Linked DNA regions of Sus scrofa. The protein of the gene in region 2 purifies or fractionates together with the protein of the main gene of each other region. This does not show direct contact. Links are inferred from orthologs where the notes say so. Each region holds a gene or a part of one and is shown on either strand. Other genes may lie near its edges.

What was found.
Region 1: the proteins of C12H17orf49 (region 2) and HMGXB4 purify together in Homo sapiens (affinity purification with mass spectrometry; 4 studies listed by BioGRID and IntAct, with this or other methods). This does not show direct contact. The link is inferred for Sus scrofa from reciprocal best matches to the Homo sapiens genes BACC1 and HMGXB4.
Region 3: the proteins of C12H17orf49 (region 2) and SMARCA1 purify together in Homo sapiens (affinity purification with mass spectrometry; 4 studies listed by BioGRID and IntAct, with this or other methods). This does not show direct contact. The link is inferred for Sus scrofa from reciprocal best matches to the Homo sapiens genes BACC1 and SMARCA1.
Region 4: the proteins of C12H17orf49 (region 2) and SMARCA5 purify together in Homo sapiens (affinity purification with mass spectrometry; 5 studies listed by BioGRID and IntAct, with this or other methods). This does not show direct contact. The link is inferred for Sus scrofa from reciprocal best matches to the Homo sapiens genes BACC1 and SMARCA5.
Region 5: the proteins of C12H17orf49 (region 2) and RBBP7 purify together in Homo sapiens (affinity purification with mass spectrometry; 3 studies listed by BioGRID). This does not show direct contact. The link is inferred for Sus scrofa from reciprocal best matches to the Homo sapiens genes BACC1 and RBBP7.

The regions. Positions count from the first base shown.
Region 1 is NW_018084968.1:1,835,226-1,839,159, forward strand, and holds part of HMGXB4 (HMG domain-containing protein 4), read left to right. Parts: intron 1-1,675; coding exon 1,676-1,757; intron 1,758-2,637; coding exon 2,638-2,702; intron 2,703-3,934. UniProt on the Homo sapiens protein: Negatively regulates Wnt/beta-catenin signaling during development.
Region 2 is NC_010454.4:52,417,506-52,421,930, reverse strand, and holds the start of C12H17orf49 (chromatin complexes subunit BAP18), read right to left. Parts: upstream 2,943-4,425; 5' UTR 2,729-2,942; coding exon 2,708-2,728; intron 2,504-2,707; coding exon 2,409-2,503; intron 1,801-2,408; coding exon 1,699-1,800; exon of another isoform or gene 1,035-1,698; coding exon 844-1,034; intron 622-843; coding exon 517-621; intron 396-516; exon of another isoform or gene 261-395; coding exon 196-260; 3' UTR 1-195. UniProt on the Homo sapiens protein: Component of chromatin complexes such as the MLL1/MLL and NURF complexes.
Region 3 is NC_010461.5:106,112,761-106,117,275, reverse strand, and holds the start of SMARCA1 (probable global transcription activator SNF2L1), read left to right. Parts: upstream 1-1,349; 5' UTR 1,350-1,555; coding exon 1,556-1,738; intron 1,739-4,515.
Region 4 is NC_010450.4:84,190,067-84,194,000, reverse strand, and holds part of SMARCA5 (SWI/SNF-related matrix-associated actin-dependent regulator of chromatin subfamily A member 5), read left to right. Parts: intron 1-690; coding exon 691-839; intron 840-1,035; coding exon 1,036-1,155; intron 1,156-1,902; coding exon 1,903-2,013; intron 2,014-2,339; coding exon 2,340-2,453; intron 2,454-2,651; coding exon 2,652-2,774; intron 2,775-3,637; coding exon 3,638-3,770; intron 3,771-3,934. UniProt on the Homo sapiens protein: ATPase that possesses intrinsic ATP-dependent nucleosome-remodeling activity.
Region 5 is NC_010461.5:13,296,038-13,299,842, reverse strand, and holds part of RBBP7 (histone-binding protein RBBP7), read left to right. Parts: exon of another isoform or gene 1-309; coding exon 310-436; intron 437-548; coding exon 549-626; intron 627-1,193; coding exon 1,194-1,270; intron 1,271-2,561; coding exon 2,562-2,619; intron 2,620-3,805. UniProt on the Homo sapiens protein: Core histone-binding subunit that may target chromatin remodeling factors, histone acetyltransferases and histone deacetylases to their histone substrates in a manner that is regulated by nucleosomal DNA.

The DNA.
Region 1 (3,934 bases), on a different chromosome or scaffold from region 2:
GCTTAATCAGTAGGTTAGGAATCTGGCATTGCCGTGAGCTGTGGTGTAGGTCGCAGACGAGGCTCGAATCTGATGTTGCTGTGGCTGTGGGCATAGACCGGCAGCTGTAGCTCCAATTAGACCCCTAGCCTGGGAGCCTCCATGTGCCATGTGTGAGGCCCTAAAAAGCCAAAAAAAAAAAGCAACTCTGATGTCACGAGACAGGATGACGTTGTTTGTTGGTTTGTTTGGGCCATAAAGTATGACCCAGGAGGCAAACAGAAGTTCCCAGTAGCTTTTAAAGCACCAAATGGTTATGTCACTGTAATAACTGCAGGGCCAGAAAAGCAGAGGAGGAGATGAAGGGCCGACCATCCTATTTTGATACTTACAGATGAGGTTTGAAATAGTAACTTTTTCTATAAGGAAGCAACATATTTTTTTTTCCTTTGGCCTATACTGCGGTAGCCCTGGAAGTCAGGCTTCCTGGATTGTAGCCATTCTAGTGTACAACTGGCATAACTGTGGCACCCAGGCAATCACTATTTTTCTGAATTTCCTTTTTCTCATCCTCAAAATGAGAGGTTTGGACGGGTGCCATGTGATGCCCCTTTTCAGGTAGGAAAACTTAATTTTTTCCCTCAGTCTATGGATAATTGTAAAATGGAATGCACAGTAACATATAATCTTTTGTTTATATATCACTCATTGACCTGACTTTAAAGGCATATTTGGTTTTTGTTTCTCAAAAATCATACCTTGCTTTTGGAATTGTCAGAATACAGTGAAGAATAACATACTTCAAGCAGTTTCTTGAAGTGAAAGAGGTTTGTCTTATATTAACTACCAGTGAATCATCTTCAGTTATTTATTTACTTCTCACCTTGGACCACAAGGATGTGAATAATAAAGTAATGAGAAACTACAAGTGACAGTCAAAGCAGGATCAGGAAAATTATAAGACTGGAAATAAAAACCAGAGGAACAGTATGAACATAAATTTGGCTCTGGACTTTCTGGCCCCAAAGTAAAGAGAACTTATGTGGTTCTTTTACAGAAGATAAAAAATAGACAACCTGTAGTTCCCATCGTGGCTCAGTGGTAACGAACCCAACTGATACCCATGAGGATGCAAGTCCAGTCCCTGGCCTCGATCAGTAGGTTAAGGATCCGGCACTGCCTCGAGCTGTGGTGTAGGTCACAGATGCAGCTAAGATCCTACGTTACTGTGGTTGTGTAGGCCAGCATCTACAGTTCCAATTTGACCACTAGCCTGGGAACTTCCATATGCCTTGGGTGCGGCCCTAAAAAGGCAAAAAAAAAAAGAAAAGAAAAAGACAACCTAAGAGAGAGAAAGATTTTCCTAGTGTTTAATTCTAACAGAAATATGTACCATGGGATTGTATGTGGGAAGAATGAGGGGCTTTGCAAATAAGTACCTCCAACAGCCTGAAAAACCCAAGAATAAGTTAGCATGTGGTTTTTACATTCTAAAAGTAAAATTGATACTTATCTCTAAGTCATAAGTAACACAGCTTAAAAATCAGTTATCCTGTTTAGGAAAGCCAGTTGGTAGTTTAGATCTCTTGATGAAAAAGTGCAGGTACCTTTTCTGTTTTGTTCCCACAGAGGCAGGGTTACTCAACTTTGTGTTCTAATTAAGTCCTGTCCTGTTGTGTTTTTCTGTGGTGCTTAGCCAAAAAAGAAGAACATGTCAGCCTACCAGGTGTTCTGTAAAGAGTACCGCGTGACCATTGTGGCTGACCATCCAGGCATAGGTAAGAACATTTCTCATCTTTCGTTTTTTTACTTCCCCTTTGTGTCTCCGAAGCAGTGCAGTTCATTCAGTCGGTCAGCAGGCACACTTCTTCCCAAGCTTGAAAAGAACTCCAAACTCATTTCTTTCCTCAGCTGTGCAAGTCATTTTAGATTTGTGTCTTCGTTCACCCCAGCCATAAAGCACAGCACATAAATATGCAGTGTTCTACTTCCAAGATTCCACAGGAATCCTTAAACTGCCCTTGTTTAAGAGTGAGCTCACATATTGTTCAGATGGGTCTGAACCTTGGACCCGTCATGTAACCTTGGACCCGTCATGTAACCTCTACGAGTCTCACTCACCCAGTGTGTGAAACTAGCCTCCCGGCCCTGTCACCAGCGTTGCGGTGAGGCACGCCACGTAAGGCAGGAATGCACTCGCTGTTCACGTGGAAACACAGCATTACGCATCTGGAAGATCACATCTGAGCTGCTCTAGGGAAATTCCACTTTCTTTCCACGCTCTCAGAAACTTGGTAAAAATCTAACATCTTTTATCAAATTCTATGTAACTTGTTTTCTTTAACCTAAGTCGATAAGCGCTGCTTTGTGGGATCAAATTAAAAGACACCATAAAGATGCTTAAGGAATACATCCTTAGAGAGTAGACGTGTGAGAATTTGAGCCTGTCTCATGACACCAGAACAGCCCCTTCGTTCTAGAAAAGAATCAGGGAAAGTTAATGGGCTTTGGTTTAGTTTTCTGAAAGAATCTTGTGCTATTTAAATCTGATCTTCAAAACCCTTTTCCCAGTTTTTGCTCTTATCAGACTTCCATTTTATGTATTTATGGTTAAACCTTTATTGAGTTTATTTGTTTGTTTTTACTCTTTTATGGCAGACTTTGGGGAACTTAGTAAAAAACTGGCTGAGGTGTGGAAACAGTTGCCAGAAAAGGACAAACTGGTAAGTACACTTTATTATGGGCATGTTTTCATTGCTTTATGCCTTTCAAAGTATATAATTCTCCTATAGACCATCCCAAACAACCCTGAAAGTAGGAGGAAAAAAATTTCAAGTCAGTGGAAAATGAGCTAGCAGAGGGCAGCGAACTGATTGGTGCCGGTTCACTCAGGCGAGGATTCTGTCGCAGAGAGACTGTCTCTCCTTACTTCATCTAATTTTTCCCAACAGCCTTCCATTTAGCCACAGGATGATCTAATTTGAGCAATGATTTGTGTTAAAAGAGAATCTAGGAGTTCCCATTGTGACTCAGCAGCAGTGAACCCAACTAGTATCCATGAGAATGCAGGTTCAATCCCTGGCCTTGCTAAATGGCTTAAAATATCCAGCATTGCTGTGAGCCAAAGTGTAGGTTGCACATGTGTCAGGTCTGGCATTGCTGTGGCTGTGGTGTAGGCCGGCAGCTGCAGCTCTGATCCGACCTGTAGCCTGGGAACTTCCATGTGCCAGGGGTGCGGCCTTAAAGAAAAAAAGGAAGAGAGAATCTAAAGTCTACTACTAACACCTACTGGTCAGTCCTAGTGTGAGAACGGAAGAAAGTGGTCCACTTCATAGTCACAGCAAATAATAAAGCATGGAACAGTGTTTACTGGGTAAGTAGGTTCCCCATCATCATTCTCCTCAACCATCACCAACTAATACGCCTTCATATCAAAAAGCTAATAAGCCAGTGATGAGTAGTCATATCTGTATCATTCATAGTCACTTTAAGATGATATGAAGGTGGAGTTCCCGTTGTGGTGCAGTGGTTAACAAATCCGACTAGGAACCATGAGGTTGTGGGTTCGATCCCTGGCCTTGCTCAGTGGGTTAAGGATCCGGCGTTGCCGTGAGCTGTGGCGTAGGCCACAGACGCAGCTCAGATCCTGCATTGCTGTGGCTGAGGCGTAGGCTGGCAGTTACAGCTCCGATTCGCCCCCTAGCCTGGGAACCTCCATATGCCGTGGGAGCGGCCCTAGAAAAGGCAAAAAAAAAAAAAAAGATGATGTAAAGGTGGTGCAGGAATTAGAATTACCGTCTTGCTTTAAGGTACAGTTCATCTGGGTGAAACAACATATAATTTTTACCCAAATAAGTTTTTGTTTTCCATTTCATTTTTATCCTGCTATCAGTGTTGCGAGCCAGCAGGTCAGAAGAAATATATATATTTTTTTAATTTAGAAGAAATATTTAAA
Region 2 (4,425 bases):
AGATCTTTATTGTTTTCTGTATAAAAATGTCCATCAGACGGGGGATCCGAGGGGTCGGGGCCGGATGCTCATACAGGAACAGCAAGCTGGGCCGCCCCGGCGGCCTTTCTGCCCTCTCTCAGGCAGGCCTTGCTCAGAGTCCCAGGCGGTCCACAGGTCCAGGGTGAACAGTGACAGGGGTCAGAGGTGGCAGGCTCAGCAAGAGAGCAGAGGAGGATCAGCAGAGGTCAGAAGAAGGCCAGAATCCAGGGTCAGGCTGTCTGGAACAGGAAGTGAAACGGGCCGAGATGGAGCGAGCCCCAAGGTGGCCTCCGAGATGACCCCGACCTCCCGGAGCAGCGGGCACCTGACAGACCCTGCGTGCACAGGAGGGCACCTTCTCTCCCAAAGCCCAGGTAGGTGGGAGGGGGCTCCTGCCGAGGTCCGCCCCCCACCATCGGCATCAGCACAGGGGGGCGCGGGGGTGTGGGGGCGGGGGCGCCCCTTCAGCTGCTGTGGGAGGAGGCAGACTCCTACCCTGGTCGAAGTTGAGTTTCTTGGCCGGAGGAGTCTCTCCCAGCCCTTCAATGTCCACCAGGTCACTGTTGGCGTCGGAGTCGTTCAGAGCACTGAGTGTCACATCTGGGAGGGGGGCACAAGCTAGGTTCTGGGTCCCCTGACGTCCCCCCCACCTCCACTTCCCAAAGTTCCAAGCCCGCCCTCCGTCCCTCCCCTGCTCCAGCCCCTCTCTGGGAGCCTTCACTGGGAGAAGAAGAGAGACGTGCCCTTTGACCCAAGCCCAGTTCTCTCACTGAACCTCCTGTGGGCCCTTTAATCCCTAGGCAGCAGCTCCACAGCCCTCACCAGCCTTCTGTTTCTTTAGGGGGGGACCCCCGGCCTCGGGGGCACTGGAGCTGCTTGGTGGAGGGGCAGCCGGAGGAGGCGACAAGACGCCAGATGCCACCTTCTTGGGCCCTTTCTTGGGCGAATCAGCCGGAAGGGGGATGCCGGAGTCTTCGTATACCTTGCGCTTCACCGTGGCCTTTATCTGAGCCCTGAAGAGGAGAGAGAGCAAGTTGGGAAGGGGGGTCGTCAGACAGGCTGAGGGAAGAAGGGAGGGGAGGGCAGGGGCAGTGGGCCACTCTGAAGGGACACGGGGGCGCCCCGTCCTAAGAATGCAGGCCAGGGTCCCAGCGCTTTGGGCAGGCTCTGATCTTTCTGAAGCTGTGCAGCCACTTAGGGCCAATGGAGCGTGAAGAGCGGAGTCCCTCGGCTGAGTCGTGGGACAGGCCCAGCTCCTAATTCTCTTCTGGGAGGGATGACTGGATGTGTGGAAGCTACCAGGTGAGCCTGGGTGATCGACAGGTAGCCTGAGACTTATCCTGATCTGCTAGTTCAGAATCCTAATACCGCTGGAAACACCGCAGGAGCGTCTCGAAAGATCTGTACAAATAACCAGGGAACTCCTATCACCAGATTCGATTGCTCAGGCAACCTAAAATCCAATTCTTGTAAGGGCCTGACTGCCAGAGCATTTTAGTTAACTTCTGATCAATTGTAACAATTCTTTTACTCTTTCAGTCCTCGAGGGAATGCTAACAAAACTAGCAACCGAGTAGGAAAGATGTTGAGCTGGGCGTTCTGAGGAAGACGGAGCAACGGGCATGGAGGAAGAAAGCTGCCCACCCACCCTCTCTCTGCCAGCCAACCCTCCCTCACACTGTCCGTTCCTTGATGACACAGCTGATGTGATTAAGATCGTCCCCAAATCGCTTCACAGCAGCCCTCAGCATCTCTATCTCCGTCTCCGTCCACTTGGCACTGTCAGAAGGGGAGAGGGGAATTGCCAAAGTGGGAGGAGGAGGAGGGGTGTGGAGCCAGCCCACCGGCCATGCATTCCACAGCAACCAGCCTCCTCCCCTCAATGCCTGGGGCCCCTCCCACGGGTCCACAAAGACATCCTCCTTTAAAAAAAAAAAAAAAAAAAAGGTCCCGTGGGAACCCTGAGGACCCCCCAAGCACACAATATTGCAACAAGCGCCACCTTAGAAGAAACCCTCCCCCCCCAACGTGACACTGCTGCTGTAAACAGCATTCAAAAGTAGGAATCTTACAAACAGAACCCCTAAACACAGTCTGCAGCAGTTTGACAGAATGCCACATGATTGGGGTAGGTGGGGAGTGGTGGTGATCTACAGTCTGCTAGTTCGCAGCAGGGTAGAGCTGTGAAATGAGTCCGGATCGTGAGCCTCAGTCTGTGTTTCATTCATTCATTCATTCATGCAACAATCATTTATTAACACCTATTCTGCGCTGTGCCAGGCACAAAGGGAAACTAACATCTGTCCCGGCCCTAGAGAGTGTCCGTGTCTGTGACCGAGTCCCAGCGTCCGCTCTCAGCGTCCACGTCCCAGCCTGGGCTCACGTACCCCGCCGGGGATGAGTCGGCCACGGGATGCAGCTGCATGGTCAGCTCCCCGAGCTTCGTGAAGGCGGCGCCCGCCGCGGAGAAGATCTCTCCGACCTGGGGGCGGGGCAGCATTACGGGGGGCCGGCGCACACCCCCGCGCCGTCCCGCCCGGAGCCCCTAACCCCACCCCAGGCTGGACTCCCGCCCGCCACCCCACCCCCGCCCCCCGCCCCCGCCCCGGACGGAAGAGCCGGGAGCCAACTGAGAGCCCGCCCTCCCGTGGCCGCCAGGGAGCGCTGTCCGCGAGGGAGGTCGAACCTTTGTGGACGCTGACGTCATGGCCCCGCGCGCCTCCTCACGGAGACGCAGCCGCCGCCGCTAGCCCAGAGCCGGGACCACGGAGAGCGGGGAGACCGAACGGCTCCGGCCTCCGCGCAGGAAGTCCCGCCCCTTCCCGCAGCTGATTGGCTCCAGCTCGGCCGCTCTTCGCCTCACTAGCCACGGTTACTTAGGTCGCCTCCGCGCGCGCAGGGAAGGAAAGTGGAAGACACCGCCTCACTTCCGGCTCTGCTGCATTCCACTTCCGTCGAGGGGTCGGACTCCCTATTTGGAGGCAGATCTCCCGCCCCGGTGCCCGCCCCCCAGCCCAAGCATACACAGGAGGCTTCAGAGAGCAGTTTCTCTTTTATTGTGGAACCGGACATGGCAAGAGGGCCAGAGGGATAGGGGACGGCCAGCCCTAGCCTCCCTCCACTGGGGGCAGTCTCCCGAGGTTGGTGAACAAGGGATTCCATCTCTAGCCAGGGAAACCCAGTCCGCAGAGGGCTCCAGAATGGGCGGGGCGGGGCGGGGGCGGGGTTGACCGGGTGGTCTTTAAATAGAAGAGGGGGCTGGAGCGGGGAAACGCAGTGGTGCTCTAGCGCACCATATATTCCTTGCGCTTATTGAGCCGAACTTGGCAGAAAGAGAAGCCTCCGAGGAGAAGGTAAAGGCCCGCGGCGATGAAACAGTTGTAGCTGACTTGCTCGTAGAGCTTGTATATGTCCTGGGGGCCATTCCTAGGGGTGGGATTAGGTAGAGAAATGTCAGAAACATTAAGAGCAGCCAACATTTACTGAGCACTATGTGCCAGGTACCGTTCTAAAAGATTTTACGTGTGTTATCTTTTTCAATCTTCATAACCCTATGGGGTGAGTTCTAGTATAGTATCCACTTTGCAGAGGTGGACGGAGGCCCAGAAAAATAAAATGCCTAACTAAAGAAGCCGCCCCAAAGTGGTGGGTTTAGTATGGTCGCTGAGGTCTGACCCAAAACTGCTCCTGTGTGCCAAAGAGAGCAACTCTCCGCACCCAGTTCCCTGGCCTCCTGGCCCCAAGCATCCCACTTTCTGCAGTTTCCCCACCCATAATTCTGACCATTTCCGCTGCCGCCTCTCCACTTACTCAAAATCTTTCTCCGTGAAAGGAACGTCTTCAATGAGCACAGCAGAGTGGACATTGAAAAAGATTCCGAGCATTATCTGAAAAAAGGAAAAGGGTAGCTTGTTGAACCTCAGGTACCTGACGGGTCACCGCCTAAACTCCTCCCACTTTGAATGTTGCCACAACATCTGGGTTTGGGAATTACCAAAACGACCTGGGATTAGGGATGGTTGTTGCCGGATTTGGGCTCCAGTCACCCGGAATAGGGTGTGAGTGTGACATAAAGAAGACTTTGCTGGGGCAAGGGCAGGAAGAGTGAGGGACCCAGATTATCCTTCTCTCTGGAGGCGTCATTATCATGGGACAGCGCGGAGGAGGTCAAGGGGAATCGGCACTTCTCCATATTTCTTCCTCAAGTGGGGCGAGAAACAAGGCCCAGCTACCCCTCTCGGGACCAAGCGCTCCCTTTCCCAATGCCCTCCATTCAGCTCAAGGATCTCTCAAGAACCCAGCTCTTCTTCTTACCCTGAGGGGTCTCCAAATGTACCATCCCCGGCTCCCATTCCAAGCTCCAGCTCCCCTCGCCCCTTTCCCCCCTCCCAGTTCTCCATTTTT
Region 3 (4,515 bases), on a different chromosome or scaffold from region 2:
AAGTGAATGAGAACATAATGGATGTAAAATCAGGGCAAAGCTAAGCACCACACCAGCCTCTCCTTTCCTCTCAGTGGCACAATCCTTCAATCACCTGTGTCTTGCTCTTTGCATCTTTCCCTGTTCAAAACCAGTCCCTGAACAGGATCTCACACTCATTCACACTAAGGTGTAAATGGCCAATAACAGCTAAAATGTCACAAGGTTTTTGCATATTAAGGAATTACAGCTTTAAAACAAAAAAGAAATTTAGGGTATCCCAGGAAAAAGGGATGTATCTGGAGGACAAATGTGTGCCTTCCTGCTATTTGCAGAAATCACACTTGATTTCAGATTGGTAACTTAGGAAGGTGTGTTGAGGGAAATTAATCATGCTTTCTTCATACTTTGGAAAATAGATGCTTCATTTTCAGAATTGTAGGTTTTGTGATTGGTGTTCGGTATACTGGTTTTCTGTATGTTTTGCTACCTTTCGTCCCCAATGACTGAAATTTTAAGGCTGAGATGTAAATCTTCCTGTTATTGATCAAAATAAATGGTGGGGAGAAATGGAAACAATAATATTTAATAACTGACGTTTGCATACCCTTTACGAAATGCTCTTATATCCACGATTATGCATATTACTGGTGTTGAATTACTACTAAACAACGGGGTAGGAATAGAATACCAAAACAATCACAATAATTCAGTTCAACTGCTGATGTTGGGCACCTACCATGCGTTGCCCCAGGTTCTGTGGGGACATTGACCTTGCCCCCCAGAAGTTTTTAAAATTCATTGGTGAAGGCAAAAGATGGGCTCCTGCACATTGGCCATCCAAGAGGTTTCAGAACCGAAAATAGAGCGAATATACGTAAAAACCGAGTCACACTTTGCCTTGTAAGTGAATGTTTGCAGCTGCAATCAAGAGATTCAAGGAATGCTTCTCCTGCAGAATTTACAAAGGTGGGAAGGGCACCACCAGTCCCCCTTTGGGGATCTGGGAAAGGACAGTCCCCAGAGGGGATCTGGGCTTTGCAAATGGTGAGACAGACCTTCTACAGTACAGTTATAAGCAGAGGAAAAGTTCTTTGTGCAAGAAGGGGAGAGCGCCCCGAGGTACAAAGAGCAGATTTAAGGGGAAGAGGATTCCTTCTGCACACATCTGCGAGGGGAGCTCGGGCTGACTGTTGGGGGCGTGTGGGGAAGGAGATTTTTTAGGGGGCCGCGGGCTGTGGGTTCCCGCCTCCACCCCAGTCCGCGCCCCACGCTCAGGCAACAGTTGGTCGTGCGGGGACGGCCTGGGCTCCGGGTGGGGAGGGGGAGTCTCGCGATCGTTGAGGGGGGGTGGAGGAAGGGGGGAGGGTGACGGGGGGAGGCCATGACGTAGGGTGGGTGGACGGAAGTGGGGCAGGGTTGAGGGTTATTTAAAGAAGGGGGGGCCGAGCGAAGGGGTTGGAAGCGAGTGATTCCCCACCCCTGCTCCATCTAGCTCTTTCCAGTGCAGCCACTGCCGCCGCCCAGGAGCCCTCGTCCCCTCGCTCGTTCCCCTCTTCGTTCCCGCTCCAACGCCATGGAGCCGGACACCGCCGCAGTGGCAGCCACCGTGGCAGCCTCTGATGCGACCGCCACGATCGTGGTCATAGAGGACGAGCAGCCGGGGCCGTCCATCTCCAAGGAGGAGGGAGCCGCCGCCGCGGCCACCGCGTCCACCGAAGCCACCGTGGCCACGGAGAAGGGCGAGAAGAAGAAGGAGGTAAATAGGAAGGGGGTGTGTGTGCGGTGGACAAATCCTGCGCCGGGCCCCTCGGAGGGGCCCAAACGCTGACCTTTGGGCGCCGACAGGTACCCGCGGAGCTCCGCAGGGTTGGGGGCGGCGGGCGCGCGGGGTGGGGGCGGCAGAACAGTCTAGCATTCGCTCCCCTCCCCCTTCGCTTCTCGCCGCCTGGAGGGCGGGGGCGGGGCTGGGGCGCGGGCGCGGCGCGGGGCGGCGGGTGCCCGTTATCTCGGGGCTTGGGGGCTGGGGAGCCCTCGACAGCCCCCGGCCCCTTTGGCGTTCCCGGAACTGGGGTAACGAGGTGGGGGATGGGGCCGTGGAGGAAAAAGCCTCCGCCTCCCCCTCTCCTCTCGCTCGCTCCCTCTCCCCCCCCCTTCCCGTCGGCCTCTGCCTGGGAAATCTGGGCCCTTCAATCCCACACTCAGGCAAAAGGGGTTTACTGGGGGTTTATTTTTTAAAATTTGAATTTCCAGGTGCCGGTGGTTGGGAGGAGGAGGACGATAGGAGAGACGTTTGTTTCTTTGATTGGCAATGTCGGCCTTTGGGGTGGCAGGGAGAAAAAAAATCCCTTGTTCGTTTGGTCCCCGCCTGCTGAAGCGGGGGTGTCACCCCGAGAAAACGAGCTCTCAGCGTCGTACCACCGCCCCCCCCCAATCCAGATCCCAAACTGAGGAACCCTGGACGCTGGCTTAGGAAAATTTCCAACGTGTGCACCCTCACCCTCTCCTGCCCCGCCCCCGACGGTATAGTGTTTCACTCCAGGGCCACCCAAATGGTCCCCCAATCCGGCCCCAAGCCTTCCAGGCTTCCGCCTCCTTTTCCTAGTGGGCGCTGCTGGCTCCTGGACACACGCAGGTTTTTTTTTTTTTTTTAATTTTGTTTTTTTAAACCCAGCGTCGCCAGGATGAATTGCTGCTAATGTACATAAGGGGACCGCTGTGACACCTATTAAAGCCAGATCCAAAAAAATACGTATTATCTCCATAAGGCGTATTTCATACGGACTGAGACGTGCAAGTAGAACTATGAAAGGCTATTGAAATATTGGAATAAAAAATTAGGTTGAGGCATAAGGATTTTGATGTATAGTAAAATTGTGGAATGGATCGTTTATGGCTGGATTTTTTTTCCGTTTACGAGTAGACATATCGCAATTAAAAAAACGGTAGGTAATTAAAATTATGCTTTAGCGATCTCAAGTGGCTTTGTTTGAATCATTATATGATGCTCTACGACCAAATGAAAAGCTTTTGAGGGAAATTAACACCTTTGGCCGTGAATTAGAGTAATTTTAAATTCAGCAGTTGCTTAAAAGTGACGTATTTTACTGTTACAAGGTTGACTAAACAGAAAGACAATTGTAGCGCTAAGTGAAAACCATAGAAAACATACGCATTTTAAGATCTGTGTGGTACTTGGATCAGTAAGACAATATCGATGATTAAAGCTGGGCCAAATACCAAGCATCGATGATATAAATCAATGTTGGGAAATTCAGGAATGTGTCTGGATACCTTTTCTTCCCTAGACTGGGCGAATGTAAGTGCTTGGCCGTCTTTTGTATGGCAGTAAATGTTGTCGAATTTCCAGGGTATATGAATTTTTGGAATTGTGAAGAGACTGGTAATCAATAAAAAACGTGTATAATCACTGAGTTGATGCATATATATTCGTGAACTCTGTGGCCTTATCAGAAATTGCACTAGTAGCACCTCATTTGTTGGCTCGGCATAGAGAAATGAGGTGCCACCTGGCAGGAACTTTCTGGATATCTGAATCTTATTACTTTAGTCACTACGTCTTTTTTATTTTGAATTTTTCCTTAAAAATCTGAATTGAACCACAACATCTACCTAAGTGCTTTTATTTGTTCTATTCCTTCAAATAAGGTAATTTTGTCTCTCCCCCAATATGAATATCATTTTTAATAGCATTTTTTATTCTTCAATTACATTTATAGTTGTACAATGACCATTACAACCAAATTTATAGCATTTCCATCCCAAACCCCCAGTGCATCCCCCCACTCCAGATCTAAATATCTGCACACTACCTTGATTCCTTAAATGGTGTCCTAAATGTACAGATTAACCTTTTCCTCGTGTCTCCCAGTTATTGTACTCTGACACCCATACAAAGGCATTTGAGATTTAGGAGGTTGTTTCCCCTCCAATAAACACCTTCCAGACACTTCCAATATTGCGTTGATTTTTTTTCAAAAATGTTCAGTCTCCTCCCTCAATTGTCAGGCTGTTAACTATCACTTTTTAAACACTTCATCTACTTTCATTAGAAAGAATTGGCTTATGATAAAGGACATAAGTGAAACAAAACCTTTCATTTAAAACAATGGTAAAAATACGGAGTTCCCGTCGTGGCTCAGTGGTTAACGAACCCCACTAGTATCCATGAGGACGCTGGTTCGGTCCGTGGCCTCACTCAGTGAGCTGTGGTGTAGGTCGCAGACGTGGCTCAGATCCCACGTTGCTGTGGCTGTGGCTGTGGCTTAGGCTGGCGGCTACAGCTCTGATTTGACCTCTAGCCTGGGAACCTCCACATGCAGCTGGTGCAGCCCTAAAAGACAAAAAATAAAATAAAATAAAATAAAACAATGGTAAAAATACAAGCCATCTAGCCAGGAGAGGGAAATAATTATTCCTGAACACCAAGGAGATGGGATGTTAATGCATTGGAACTTAAGGTTTGGTTCTGGGCTTTCATGCCATCCCTTCTTGCTGTTGACAGTGTGTCTTCTT
Region 4 (3,934 bases), on a different chromosome or scaffold from region 2:
AATTGCAATCATAAGTGATGTGTGAATGGTTATTGAAGTTTGACAATAAGAAGGTTTTTGTGCTTTACTTTTCTAAGTAGAAAAGGCTGATTTGGGAGTATTAGTGATAATACTGACCAGTTTTCTGCATATCAGAAACTTCTTGTATTTATAATGCTTTCATCTGTTGATACTTAAAAAAATTGATAATAACTTTGGTTTTCAAATATCCCAAATATCTCTTATTCTCCCCACACAAAAGGGTATATTTTATTGAGATACAGTATTCAATAGGCCTTATTATATAATATGTATGCTTTAGAAATATTTCAAAACTTATGACTTAGAATTTGGCATTTTGGAGTTGGTGCAATAGGATCAGCAGTGTTTTTGGAGCTCTGGGACAGAGGTTTGATCCCTGGCCGGCAGAGGGGTTAACGATCCAGCATTGCTGTCACTGTGGCATCACAACTGTGGCTTGGATATGATTCCTTGCTCGGGAACTTCCATATTCCATGGGGCAGCCAAAAAAAAGAATCTGGCATTTTATATAAAAGTGAAAATTATCAGATGTGAATAAACAAATGATTGATGTTTGGGAGTAAATTGCATGGTATTATAGCTGACATTTAAAAAATTCAATAAAAAATTCAAGTTTCCACTAAACTAAGATTTGTTTGATTAACATTAGACAACAAAATTTTTTTTCAGGAAGACTTGTGGATCAGAATCTTAACAAAATCGGGAAAGATGAAATGCTTCAAATGATAAGGCATGGGGCAACACATGTATTTGCTTCAAAGGAAAGTGAGATTACTGATGAGGATATTGATGGTATTTTGGAAAGAGGTGCCAAGAAGGTGAGATGCAGATTACATTATGTTTTTAATACATAACATATATCAAACCAGACCTGTTTGAGGAAACTGTTACATGGGTCATAGATAATGTTATTTCCACGGAAGTTTTTATATACTGTAAAGCCTAATCATTTGGACTACAGTTCTTATGCTTTTTAAATTCTCAATCTAATATGACATTTCTTTTGTTTGCTAGACTGCAGAGATGAATGAAAAGCTCTCCAAGATGGGTGAAAGCTCACTTAGAAACTTTACAATGGATACAGAGTCAAGTGTTTATAACTTTGAAGGAGAAGATTATAGAGAAAAACAAAAGGTAATTTAGGACGAGGTTATGGTTACTTGAAAGTTGGAATTTAAAGTGTTAAGTATGATGCTTGTCATGAACAGCAGTCATTTCTGTTTACTCATGTCTAAATTATTTTCATTTTTGTGTTAAATTTAATGCCAGGTTTTCATGTGGTAAACTCTTGAATGCTTTAAAGTTTATGTATTCTGTTAAAGTGAAATATATTGTGTGGGGTGGTTATAATATTTAAACATTAAACATTCAAACATTAAAACTATTGCCAAAAAATTTTTTTGCAACTTTACTAGATTTTCTTTTTTAAAAAAAACCAGCAGAATTGGCTGATAATAATTAAAGGGAAGAACTTCCTAATTTCATAAGTAATACTTGCTATTATAAAGGAAAATTAGAAAAAAAATTCTGATGCTTTCTCTTTTAACATTTTGATGTATTTATTCTTTAGGGTTTTTTTCTAGGCTAAATATATATCTACGTTTCGTTCCTAATTTGGGTTGTAGCATACCTTTTATAATATTTTTTTTTCATTCCGTTGTCATTAATTTGGTCAAATATTTAGAGAATGTCTTGCTTATTCACTAGACAGCATCTTATGTGTTAATAACATAGTCTCTAGCCTCATAGAGCACATAGGATTTCATGAGTATCTTCGCAGTTGTAAATAACAGTTGTTGTATTGCACACAGGAGTTGCATTCATGTAAGATTTGCGACTGTATAATAAAGTTGGTGATTTGAATTGTTTCCCATGTGCCAGATTGCATTCACAGAGTGGATTGAACCACCTAAACGAGAAAGAAAAGCCAACTATGCTGTTGATGCCTATTTCAGGGAAGCTCTTCGCGTCAGTGAACCTAAAGCACCCAAAGTGAGTTGACAGAGCACACTTATCTAAAAATATTGGAAATATAAATTATTTTTCTTCCTATATTCTTGTGATAAAATCAGACTAAGAATTAGATTTTGTGTGATTTCTTACAATACTTCCTTCAACTTTTGTTAAGTTTTCCAAAAATTAATTTTGAATGTGTGCATTTAAAATTTGATTAATGTTTGTTCAATTTTAGTGGAAAATTTATTCAATTGCTTGCAGAATTGACTGTCATGGTTGATAGAATGAAGGAAAGATGATAGATAGATTTAAAGCAAAGTAGTTTGGTTTTTACGGACAATATAATTTTTTTTTCCCTTTAGGCTCCTCGACCTCCAAAACAACCCAATGTTCAGGATTTCCAGTTCTTTCCTCCACGTCTATTTGAATTATTAGAAAAAGAAATTCTATATTACAGAAAAACAATTGGGTACAAGGTAATAAAAGTAGCACTTTGTTCATAACTAAATCTAGTTTGTTTTTAACTGAAATAAATGTAGGATATCAGTTTGTTTTCTTTCATGGTTTCATTAAAACTCATGAAATGTCATGTAGCTGGTTGATAGTTTGGTTCATCACATGCTTCCTAAAATATATTGATTGATAGATAACACAGAGAAATACTTGTTCTTTAGGTGCCTCGAAATCCTGACCTACCAAATGCAGCACAGGCGCAAAAAGAAGAACAGCTCAAAATTGATGAGGCTGAACCCCTTAACGATGAAGAGTTAGAGGAAAAAGAGAAACTTCTAACACAGGTATAGCCTCTAGTCAACACAAAATTTAGTGACTTTTTTTGTAAGGTACTGTGTTAGGTTGTTTTGGGATATACAAGGAAGTATGAGTTTTTACTTTCAAAAATGGAATACTTGGAGATGATAAAGCATGGGTATATGTTCCATTGTCATTAGTTGTTGAGATAGTTGAGATTATACATTTGCACCATCCTTGGCAGAATGGGTATCCTTTTGATCACTTTTCTCCCAGCATTCCCATCTTCCCTTTTCTGGGAATCTTTTTTTTTTTTTTTTTTTTTGGCCACCCCCATGGCATGTGGAAGTTTCCAGGCCAGGGATTGAACCCAAGCCATAGCAGTGACAATGCCAGATCCTTAACTTGCTACACCACAAGGGAACTCCTTTCCCGTGAAGCTTATACATTACTAGTAACTTATTCTCAATTATAAGTCTTTTCTTGGTACTTATTTTAACATCCTTGAGAGTTCAATCAAGGCTTTTTAGAATCTGGCCTTAACCTACCCATAAAGTCTTACTTTCTTTCTGTTTTCCCACTTGGATTATATCTTTGCCCTTTAATCTATGTTCACTCCTCCTGGCAAATTTCTTTTCCTTCAGAGCTCAATGAAAATGTTACCTTTTCATGTAGATTCTTTTCTCTTCCACTCAGATTTAATTGCTTGGCTATATAAGCAATATATGATGTATTGCTAAAAGTGTACATTTGTGTATATGAAAAGTCAACACTGTAAAAGAACTTTAAAAAACTGGGAGTAATTGAAAATTCTCTGTAATACTTATTAGCAGTATTGCTAAAGTTGAATAGGTTTTATTCCCAAGTTCAGTGTGCTGTGATTATATGTTTTGTTTCTATTGCTTTGAAGGGATTTACCAATTGGAATAAGAGAGATTTTAACCAGTTTATTAAAGCTAATGAGAAGTGGGGTCGCGATGATATTGAAAATATAGCAAGAGAAGTAGAAGGAAAAACTCCAGAAGAAGTCATTGAATATTCAGGTAATTCCCTATTATTTTAATAGGTATAAGAATGTTCTCAGGCTTTTGGAGAACTGTTGGAAAATTCAGATTTTGTTATTCTGAATAGGTTTTGATAAGCTAAATTTTGCTTAGCTAATTTAGTGCCTTGTTTAATTTTGTGTTATTTAAAAATGGAGTTGGAA
Region 5 (3,805 bases), on a different chromosome or scaffold from region 2:
AATTTGAGAAGGCCAGCTAGGTTTTAGGTATCAAATGGTTACCTTGTTTTCAGCGTAGTATATTGCGGATGCTGGGAATACTTGGAAGTCCAGGGGGGACCTGAAGGAGAAAGCCGCAGTGGCCGGGGTTTGTTTGCTGTAGGTTTAGAGCCTACCCCTTGGGTTGGACTCTGCGTGCTTGGGGTCTCTGAAGAGGCGAGTGTGCGGAGAGCAGTGGTGTAGACGCTGCTGACGGGGGCGCGGGAGAGAGGCGGGGCGGGGTGGAGTGGCCTGCTTGTGTCCTGTGTGCCTTGTACCCCTGTGTTGTAGATGGGACACCAGGTCCAATACCACCTCCAAGCCGAGCCACCTGGTGGATGCACACACCGCCGAGGTCAATTGCCTGTCGTTCAATCCCTACAGCGAGTTCATTCTCGCCACTGGCTCTGCGGATAAGGTTTCTCAATTTTTGCATACTTGGTATTTTATGAACGCCCTTGTCTTGTCCTGTAACACCTGAACTTTCTTACGTAACGTGAAGAAACGAATTCCTTTTTATTGTTCTTCAGACTGTAGCTTTATGGGACCTGCGTAATTTAAAATTGAAACTCCATACCTTCGAATCTCATAAAGATGAAATTTTCCAGGTAAGTGACAGTTTTCTGGTGTTTGTGTCAGATTTTCATAACTTTTTGGTAGAGGGAAATTAAAAAAGATTTCTCCTTTTATACGGTCAGCATAGAACACGGTGTTTTATTTTTTAAGCTCCTCTTCCACTATATAAATGGGAAATAATGTGGAGGTTTTTTAGAAACTATTAGTTCAGAGGTAGAAGAAAAATCTTGCAAAACAGGATCCATTGAAAAAATGAAATCCAAGAATTCTTCCTTGAAGGTATGTCAGCATAGTGGGTTCTCTAGTGAAAAAATACCTTGTATATGGTTGAAAATTGAGATTTTCACTTCATTGAAAGATTTTGAAGCTTCTGGGGTGGTTTTGGGGCCGAATAAGTGTGTTGGACCCTTAGCTGAGTTTCCCTGTGTTTTGGAGAGATGGGCCACTTTGAGTGCCTGAAAGGATAGGACAAGGAGGGTGAGGGCCTGTAGGCCAAGGCGAGGCTACCGTGCACGAAATGGGAACATACCCAGGATTAGAACAAAATCCACCAACTTTGGAATGGATGAGTCTTTACATTTGCAAATGTAAACTTGCAGGTCCACTGGTCTCCACATAATGAAACTATTCTGGCTTCAAGTGGTACTGATCGCCGTCTGAACGTGTGGGATTTAAGGTAACTCAGAATCTCGTGACAAGAAATTGCATAAATATGCTAATCTGGCAGGTTATGTAATAATTCATAAACTAGCAGAGCAATTTGCTAACCCCATTAATAAGTCTAAAAGTAATTTTAAGTGCCTTCCTGAAGAGTCTTTGTTCCATAAAATAGAAGCGAATCAGCATTGGTCTGTAAAATAAATGTATGCCAACGTGAGTTTTGTGTCTCTGTGCCTACTCAGGCCTGACGTTGGGGTACGGGGTGGCGGGGGGTGTGACATCCGTATGTTGGGTTTCACAACCCGCTTGCTGTGGAAAGAAAGCGTAAAGGCGTCGGCGCCTCCTGTTTCATTGGATCTCACGTCCACCTGCAGCACTGGTCTCCGTTTTTCTCCCGTTTGCTGTTCTGTGCTTTCGTTGACTGTTTTCTCAGGGATGAACCCGGGCTGTGGGTTGTGTAAGTGCTGAGGATGAACTGGGACGCCAGCACAGCCCATGCTGCCAGAGAGGTCATGTTCTTTTGGGGACTCACCGTGGTCCCAACTCTCAATTCCCTGACTACAGAGTTGCTATTCTAAGAATTTCAGACGCCTTTGGGGTTTTTTTAGCCTTTAGAGCCATAGATGATGTTGCACAGTTCCGTACATTCCCCCAAGATGTTCTTATCTCAAGTTCACATCATGAAAATGCCGAAAGTAACTTCATTCCTACCTGTGTTGCTTTGACTTTGCTTTGACATGGACTAAGTTTTTAGTCCAGATTGCCTTCATTATCGAGACAGGAGGCCCCCTCTTCAGTGTACGGAACAGAGACACTGAGGAGAAAATGTTTGTATGTAAAAATTCTAAACAGCCAATGTTCCATGTTCTTATGGCCATGATAGATGCTGGGAAATGTAGAGAATCTTTAAAACAAGCATTTCAGTATATTCTTTTTCATTTGAAAACAATTTTAGTAGTAAAATTAGAAACCTAAAACAAGGAGTTCCCATTGCGGCTCAGTGCTAATGAACCCACCTCATATCCATGAGGATGTAGGTTCGATCCCTGGCCTCGCTCAGTGGGTTAAGGATCCGGTGTTGCTATGAGCTGTGGTGGAGGTCGCAGAAGTGGCTCAGATCCCGTGTTGCAGGCCAGTGGCTACAGCTCCAGTTCAACTCCCAGTCTGGGAACCTCCACATGCTGTGGGTGCGGCCCTAAAAAGCAAAAATAAAGAAAGAATAAGATGTGATGTCTGGGCTGATGCTGGCTTTGCAAATACTCCTGCTATAAGAACTTCAGTAACGAAGGCATGTTCTTTCTTAATAGCAAAATTGGAGAAGAACAGTCGGCAGAAGACGCAGAAGATGGGCCTCCAGAACTCCTGGTGTGTACTGGCTTTCCTCATACAAGATGAAATGTCATGTGGACATTGGCCTGTTTATCATTGTTTCGCATCTCTGGAAAATGAGTCAAAAACCTCAAATTTCACCTCTTAAAGATGATTTCAAATTGGAAGCGCTAGAGGTTATCGTGATAGGGTTTTGGCGTTTATTAAAAATAGTAAATAGAGCCCAGTGGATTTTTACCAATATTTCAGTGAGAAGAATTTAGGCTCCTGGCAAATAGTGTATAGTAATTTCTCCCTGGTTCTCAGTAATAATGTTTCTGAGGGTTTAGTGGGGCGGGGCTTTGATGCTGTTAGCAGGACTTAACACTTTCTCACAGTGTGAAAAAACGGTATGACCTGACTTGTAAGTTCCTTGCTCAGAAAAATGAATGCTTCCCCGATCTTTCACCTGTTCCTAATTAAATTATTTTGGCATCTCCTCAGCCCTTTGAAGGTTTACGAGGTGGTATCTGTCCTGTCCTGTCCTTCTGTCTCAGTCCTTCGTTGTACACTTGAAGTCCCTTTTCTGGGAAGCGTTGCCAGTCGTTTGGCAGAATCGCTTGTTCCTCTGTTCCGCGTACTTAGCTCTTAGACCAGTACGAATTCGCTTTGTACACTTGGGCTTTGCCCACCACTTGTAAAGAAGGCTGTCGAGGGTGAGCCCTGCTCGCAGAAGAGGCTTGCTAAAGCCGGCGCACTGTGCCCATCGGGGAGCCTCTGCTCCTGTCCGCTGTTCCCATGCCCTGCAGCACTGGATTGTGGCAAAGACACACCAGCGTATTTCGTGTTAACATAGTGCTGCAGTTTTTTTTTACTTTAGTAATACCTTTATTGATGAATATTTGGCAGGACATACAACGAACTGTTTTTAGAGTAAACACTGCCGTGGTTTTTAGTAGTTCATAGAGTTGGACAGCCATCACAAGTCTGTTTTAGAACATTTTTGTCCCCTTGTAAAGAAAGTGTGCCCTTTACCTCTTGGCCCCCAGGCTTCTCCTTTCACCAGCCCCTGGCCACCTCTGATCTACTTTCTGTCTCTAGATGTACCTGTTCTAGACATTTCATATGAAAGGAATCATATGTGGTCTTTGTGACTCGTTCTTGCATTTAGCATAATGTTAAGGTTTGCAGCTATTTTTTGATGCTGCAGGGAGACGGTAGTGTGTTATGCCTCTGTAACAAT